Linked DNA regions of Lytechinus pictus. The protein of the gene in region 1 binds, or shares a complex with, the protein of each later gene. Links are inferred from orthologs where the notes say so. Each region holds a gene or a part of one and is shown in the gene's direction. Other genes may lie near its edges. The genes, in order: RNA polymerase-associated protein RTF1 homolog and RNA polymerase II-associated factor 1 homolog.

The links.
Region 2: RNA polymerase-associated protein RTF1 homolog (region 1) and RNA polymerase II-associated factor 1 homolog share a complex: the UniProt entries of both Caenorhabditis elegans proteins name them as parts of the PAF1 complex. The link is inferred for Lytechinus pictus from reciprocal best matches to the Caenorhabditis elegans genes rtfo-1 and pafo-1.

What each region holds. Positions count from the first base shown.
Region 1 is NC_087251.1:44,622,361-44,626,283, reverse strand, and holds the start of RNA polymerase-associated protein RTF1 homolog, read left to right. Parts: upstream 1-1,211; 5' UTR 1,212-2,458; coding exon 2,459-2,539; intron 2,540-3,923. UniProt on the Caenorhabditis elegans protein: Component of the PAF1 complex which is a multifunctional complex involved in transcription initiation via genetic interactions with TATA-binding proteins, elongation and transcription-coupled histone modification.
Region 2 is NC_087251.1:47,770,169-47,774,091, reverse strand, and holds the start of RNA polymerase II-associated factor 1 homolog, read left to right. Parts: upstream 1-755; 5' UTR 756-877; coding exon 878-924; intron 925-3,923. UniProt on the Caenorhabditis elegans protein: Component of the PAF1 complex which is a multifunctional complex involved in transcription initiation via genetic interactions with TATA-binding proteins, elongation and transcription-coupled histone modification.

The sequences.
Region 1 (3,923 bases):
CCATCCACTGTAAGTGGGGCACAGTTCCAATGAACATAATTAAGTTGTGCAGGGGTACGTGCAGCCAGATCGAAAGCTCAATTTTGCACCACCAGATCCGGGGGGGGGGGGGGCACTTACATTGACGAATTCAATTCAATTCTTTATTCCATTTCCATTCAAAACATAATACAAAGTAATATAAAGTAATACAAATGAAATACAATTTTACAGACGAGTATTCTTACTTCGTAAAAAAAAAAAAAACAGTATAATATTGAGCATAAATGGAAATGAGGGGGGTCCACTAAAAAGCAAAGCTTGTAAAGTGTGGATCCCCACGGAAATGAAGAAAATATAATCGACTTATTCATTTATGCGTTTATATACAGGAAAGAAAAAAGAGAAGGAACAAATAGGTCGAAATCATATTGATCTAAACATAATTACAGAACAAGTGCAAAGCTATTCACACAAAGAGGTCTTCGCTGCGAAGTGAAGTGTCTCGTGGGGTAGTTATGATAAAATTAATTTTTTGTGAACATATGGCATCAAAAATATGGGGAAGTGCATGAATAGATACCATGCGCGACTATAAAACACGTAAAAGGGGTGTCTTTTTCAAGATAGGGCACGTTACAAAGTTACGTAACGTAATAAGGGTGGCAAAAACACAAAAATAATTTTAAAAAAAACTGTTATATAAAGGATTTACTTTTTTCCCCAACCGCTACACTAGGCTAACGTTGTGTGTTTAGAGTACGATTGCGCGGTGTGTGGCGGTGTGTGGGAGGTGGGGTCATAAACCCAATGATGTAGGTAAAGGTAAAACCGACGTCATAATAATCAAAATATCGTTGTACTTGTTTGGGGGTTCAATTCAGGAAATACTTGCCAAGATATCGTTTTGTTTCCAATACTTGTTAAGGGTAGGGATTTACACGCCAAATTAAGGCCTGGTGCATTTTCAAAATAAGGCTTTTATTTCGAGACCCGGACATGGTGGCGCATGGTATCCATGCACTCGTCAATGGAAGCTAGTGCCCCCCCCCCCCCGGCACCAGATTGATATCCTGTTAGGCTAGGCCAGGTATAAACTTACAGGCCTTTTGAAAGCAGTTTATTTTAATTCATGCTATATGGACGGAGTGCCGCAGCAGGGATCGAGCCTGTATGAGCTGTGTTGCGTTGAGCCTTTTGTCGCTTTGCTGGCCGCAAGAGCCTATATCAATGAGTCGTGTTTCTTATGTACCAAAATTAATGTAAAGGTCACTATATTTTGCAAAGGGAATCTATTTTTCTTCGGTCGCTAAATGGCTCGTTTGTTAATTCAATGATAATCAAATCAGTGTCTTGTGCAGTCAAGTTCTTCCGGGCTTTATAATAGAAATAATTTATTTCATTTTTTTCCGCCCCCACCCCCTCCCCCAGCCGTTGTTGTAATCAAGTAGGCCCTATAGCCTTCTTTTGGTTTCTCATCACCACGGCATCGATTTCCTTATAGGCTTTATCTTCCATGTTAATAGACAACAAAAAAATCGGATATCAATGAGTGCATGATGGGGAAATAAAACTATGGCCTATATATATATATACTTCCAATTATCTTGGCCATTCGTGACTATAGTAAGGAATTAGTCATTTCACGTCAAGCCTTTATTTTTGGAGAAAAACAACACTTCTTTAATTCATAACGTTGACCAAGCGCGATTGCGTGTAATAAAAGACCTTCAGCCTTATGCTATATAGGAAAAAGTATTAATTTGCATTCATGGTGCAAACAGCGGGAGGGGGGTGATTTCTCGCCACCGCGCGCCCCCGCCCCTATAAGAAGATCGAGGTAATCAGGAGATTCTGTGGTTCCCGCAGGAGAGAAAAAATGAGGAGCAATAACTGATGGCGCATCGGACATTTTTTTAAAATCAAGAGCGAGAGAAGCGAGCAAACCATGAGAAAATATTTTTTTATGGTGACGTATAATGGCCTGGGCGTAATCTAAAAAAGTTGAAAAAAATGTTTCGCATTTTCTCTCTTTTTTTTCTTGGTCGCGGAACCCCACCCCACACCATCTAAAGATCTACGCCAGTGCTTTGGAATCACCCCCCCCCCCCCATTCTCAGTCAGCCGGAGTAATTATGCCAAATGTTCAGAATCACGATTTGCTTATATGAAAGTACCATACAATATTTGTCATTTATTTTCGTGTGCTTGTTTCGTGCGTGTGCACATTGGTTAGTAATGGTACCGTTTTAAAACTTATCAGCTAAAATCGCAACGATACGCGGCCATGTACGTCTAGCTAGCCTACATGATGTACGTACGTATTGCACGCGTGTGCGTGCGTTTAGCAAAAAAGTAAAACAAGAAAAAAAGGGAACTCATCTCAGTCGTGGTCTCTCTCTACAAAATGCCCTAAAAAGCAAGAACTTCATCGATTTGAGTCCCGATTCTACCCATTAAAGTGAAAGACCCAAGCGCCATGTCGAAACGTAAGAAACCAAGCAGAGCAGTGATAAATTCAGACAGTTCTGCATCGGAAAATGAATCGGATCTGGAAGAGGTAATTTCTCCATTCACTTTACACACAGACAGACATGACACTGACACAGATAGATAGTTGCACATTTATTTGCACTGCATGCAGTGCAGTATGCAGTGAGTGTGTGTTTCTGAGAATATTAAGTTTAGCTGAGACTGAGTAAGTGAGTGTTTGAATTTTGATGTCACTAAATTTCAGGAATATAGGAATGGAACTGCAAGAAAATTTGCTGACGGGTTGCTTCTGGCATTTTCTTAGCTTGTTTTGCACAGAAAACAATCGCAAAAACTTAAGTTAAATTCGTTGAGCAAAATCAGTTTGTCATCAGGCAGACATTGAAATAATTAATGGCATGGCATGGGCCATGACCCATCCATGACCATGCACATGTTGGTCGTAAATAATATGCAGTCTTTGGATTCTCTGCCAAGAGTGAGACTGAGAGTGAGAGTGAATGTTTGCACATTAATAATATTGCTTGATTTTTTTCTTCTTTGACGTAGGTCTATGATTAAGTAGACACGACGGCAATCAATTAAGGTGGCTGGTGGGGGCATCACCATCAGCAATTTTTTCTTGCAATTTCTAAAAAAAAAAACCTTTTTGTGTTAAAACTGTAATACAAATGAACTTTATGAAGCTACCTTGTTCATTCCCATGGTGATGGGTATTATTTGTAATATTACTGTCAGATAATATAGTTGTGATATATGTCTACACATATATGTGATATTATGCAGTGATGCAATCATCAGATTGCAAGATTTTTAATTGTAACCCAGTTAATAGCTAAAAATAATGCATGATTGGTGTATTTACCTAGCCTTGAGGACTCCATGATGATATTTAAAAATATTTTTACATAGATATACTTTTCATCACGAAGCCTTGAAACCCTCCCCCATACTTGCCTATTAAAGCGGCACATGTAAACACAGATGGATTTTTCCCTATATAGATAAATAAAATCCAACAAATTTACGTGATTTCTAGCTTTAAAGGTCAAGTCCACCTCAGAAAAATGTTGATTTGAATTGATAGAGAAAAATCAGACAAGCATAATGCTGAAAATTTCATCAAAATCGGATGTAAAATAAGAAAGTCATGACATTTTAAAGTTTCGGTTATTTTTCACTAAGTAGTTGCATGCACAATTTAGTCACATGCAAATGAGAGAATCGATGATGTCACTCACTATTTCTTTTGTTTTTTATTGTTTGAATTATACAATATTTCAAATTTACAGATTTGACAATAAGGACCAACTTGACTGAACCATAAAATGTTAGACAATGGTAATTCCACATTTCCAGGGAGAAATAAAACTTTGTTCCACAGGACAATGCGGAGAAAATTAGAATATTTTGTATTTCATGTCATGAAATACAAAAGAAATAGTGAGTGA
Region 2 (3,923 bases), about 3.1 Mb from region 1:
TTCTTTTTTCTCCTCTCTTTTCCCTCCCTTTTTTCTTTCTGTCCTTTTCTTCTTTTTTGCTCCGCCAATAGGGGGGGGGGGGGGGGGCGGGCCCCTCGGCCCCCCCCCCCCTGGATCCGCCTATGCGCTCTTTAATTTCAATCATCGGCAGCCCGGTCATGTTATTATTTTTTTTCTTGTCCCTTTTCTTTGTTTTCCATTAGCTTTTGACTAATAACATTACCTTCATTTCCCGCTATTGTTTGCCATTTTGTCATCTTTTAATTCATTGCCCACCGTGCTATTGCATTACATAGGCCTATTTCGGAATGATTTGTTCTTTCTCAAATGTTCTTCTTTGATTTTCTTTCGTACATTTTCCTGCTTTTTCTGATTTTCTTCGTTTTCTTTTCACTTTTCCCTTTCCCTTTCCTCCTTTCCTTTTCCCCTTTCCTTCCCCTTTTCCTTTCTTTCTTTCTCCCTCCTTTTTTTCTTTTTCCCGTTTTTCTTTTCTTTTCCCGGTGAAATCCGCCAGGGGGGGCAGCTTGCCCCCGCGGCCCCCCCGCCTGTTACGCCACTGTTTACGGAATGATTTTGTATTATACCTGTATTTTCTTAATTAGAATTTTTTCTTCCCTGAATTTCATATTATTTTGATCTGATCTGTTCCTTGATTATTATCTTTTAACAGTCTCGTCAGGATGTTTAATTTTGTTTGCAAAACACAAGAAAATGTGTAATTTGTCAAGGAGGGAGTAATTAATGCTTTTTTTTTTGCTTACTCGAGGACATCGCACAATCAGTGTATCGTTCAATTTTCATGTGCTATGTTTTTTTGTTTGCACCAACCCAAAATCTACTGTCGGTTTTCTTCCCTTTTATTGCTCATTAAATCGAAATGCCGCCGACAATACAGAGTGGAGAAAGAAAGGACAGAGATCGGAAGTATGTATATTAGTTATTTTTACTAATTGATTATGCAAAGTTACAAACCATGGCCAAGTATTCTGGCCTGCGCCAAGGCCCTCAAGTTTTGCTCAAATCGGCCAACGCAACGGCCACGCTATCGCGCCCGCGCCACGGCCTACCGTACAGCTAGTACAGGTACGTAGGTACCTACCGTATACCGTACGGCGGGCCGGATCCCAGGACTCGTCCGTGTAATCCATTGCTCCACACTAACCCTTTTTTTCTACTGGTCCAACCTATTCATGTCGGACCAGGGCAGTAGATACCCAGTTTTTCCATTATTTACTGGTCCCAAAAAATTAAAACATTAATTAAGAAAAGGTGCAAGTTTATTTTGCTGCCCTTTCCTGTTACTCCCCCCCCCAAAAAAAAAAATGAAGGAATGAAAGACAGAACAGAAACAAACAAGCAAAGAAAGAGAGAATAATTAAAAGAAAGGAAGAAAAAAAGAAAAGGTAAAGAAAGCGAAAGGATAGATGTGAAGAAAGGAAAGAACTAAAGACAGTAAAGGAAGGAAAGAAAGAGCAAAAATAAAGAAAGAACGAAAGAAAAAAGGAAGAAAGGAAAGAAATGAAGCAAGCAATAAAGAAAGAAAGAATAAAAGACAGAAAGTAATGAAGGAAAGAAGCAATACAAAAAGAAAGGGTAAAATGAGAGGAAGGAAGGAAAAATAAACGAAGGATTGAAAGAAGGAAGAAAGAAATTAAGGAAGAAATAAAGTAAAGGTAAAATGAGAGATAGGAAAAAAGAATGAAGGAAAAAAGGAAGCAAACAAGCAATATAAAAAAGGTAAAAAATAGATGAAAGGAAGAAAAAAAGACCAAAAGACAAAGAAAGGAAGGAATGAAGGAAAGAAGAAAGGAAGCAAGCAGTAAAAAAGAAAGAAAAGGTAAAAGGAAAGATGGAAAAAAGAAAGAAAGAACAAAAGACAAAGGATGGAATGAATGAAAGAGAGAGAAAGGGCTTAAAGAAGGAAGATATAAAGAACAAGAAAGGGTAAAGAAAGGATGGATGGAAGAAAGAGAGTAAAAAAGAATGAAGGAAAGAAAGGGTAAAAAGAAGGAAGGAAAGAAAGAAAGAAGATATAAATATAGGATGGATGGACTCAAGAATTAAAGAAAGAAAGAAATCAAAAAGAAAGAAAGAGAAAAATATTTTTTTAAAGGACAGAAAGAATGAAAGAACAAAAGACAAAGAAAAAAGGAAAATTAAAAAAGAAAGACATTAATAAAAAAATGAAAGAATAGAGGGAAGAAACGAAGAGAGATTGAAAAGAAAGGAGGAAAGAAAGATAGTAAGAAAACTGAGGAAGAAAGCTAAAACTATCATAAATAAATTATCACTTTCTTTTTTGCTCAATTAAAATATAGCTATGCCTATGACGGAAGAAACCGAGTGTATCAACACACACACAAATGCATATGTGGGGCTATCATGTATTCAGACGATATCACTCGAAACCCGATCTGTTTGAACTAAAACAGAAGTGAAAATTTCTCCTTTTACTGCTTACAAATGACAGAGTTACCCCAATTTTTAGGAAATATGGACATTATAAGAGCTTTTCATTAGTGTGAATGTGAATTTTGACAGTTCTGTGAGAGATTTCTGCCAGACGTTAGCCAAGCTTCATTCGTGCAGCCCAGTAGAAAATTTACCATGTGGGCTGTGTGGCTGGCTGTACATGTGCACTAAACTGTATAATACTAGATACTAGTCCCCTTGTAAAAATTGCATGCAATTCATTCTGTGTGTATATTGTGTGTGAATGACAGAAATTAACGGGAGGAAAATGGTTTGCAATTTGAGTCATGGAATATTTTTTATGTTAATGTTGGACCAGTGAATATGACCATTTCTGGAAAAGTTACTGGCTAAACAATGGTTTTTATTCCTGGTCATGTCGGAGCCATAAATCTTGCTTTTTTTTGAAAAATTACTGGCCCGACAATGAGTTTTTTACTGGTCATGTCGGACCAGTAAATCTGGCTATTTCTGAAAATCTACAGGCCCGACAGCGATTTTTACCAGTCTGGGACCGTCGGACAAGTGCTAGTGTCGAGCCCTGGTAATACGGACATTTAATAGACAGGAATAACCGTCGTTTCTGAGGATTTATTTAATAATTTCTGATAATGTTGTAAATCGGATAAAACATCAGATCAAAAATCGGATTGGCAGTTAAGCTTCGAAAATCGAATCGGCGATGTCTAAAAACAAAGGAAAACATCAAAATTTTATTTGCGGTCGCGCGCATATTCCTGACAAAGTCACAAAGACGAATGCATTGGAATGGAAGTCGCCAACATGCGCGATCGTTTGGAACATGTTTTAAAGGGGTTTTGAGGTGTTACTGCTATAAATAAACCAAGTGATTTTTATTCGAAAGTTAAACGAAAGACGCATCTTCCCAGCAAAGTTGCAAAGGAAAATAAAATGAAAATAATTATCATAGATCACAGGTTAATGAACGATCGGCGGGACATCTTTTATAAGTATATTTTTTAGGTGCTAGCGATTTAAAATTATTTGAAATGATCTCTTGATCTCGTACGACGCATCATCTTAAAGTCGCAAGTGCAATTAAAATGTAGAAGAATTCGCAAGCACGCGCGATGATTCGGAACATGTTGTTAAAATGTTTTGGGGAGCTAGCGTTTTCAAATCAATTTATTACTATCTTGAGAAATTAACTTTTGATATCCAAGAAGAAATATAAAAGAAGCATCTCCCGACGAAGTAATTGAGGATGAATAGAAGATGTCTATCATCATAAAGGAGGTAAGAGAGTAGCGCAGTGATGTCCATCAGTAATACGACCTGTGAAAGTTCACGGTGGCGTCCGCTATCACCACGAGGTTGAAGAGAAGATGTATATCATTATAAACGATGTAAGAGAGTAACGCAATGAGCTCCGTCAGTAGTACGATCTTTAAAAGTTCACGGCGGCGTCCGCTATCACCACGAGGTTGAAG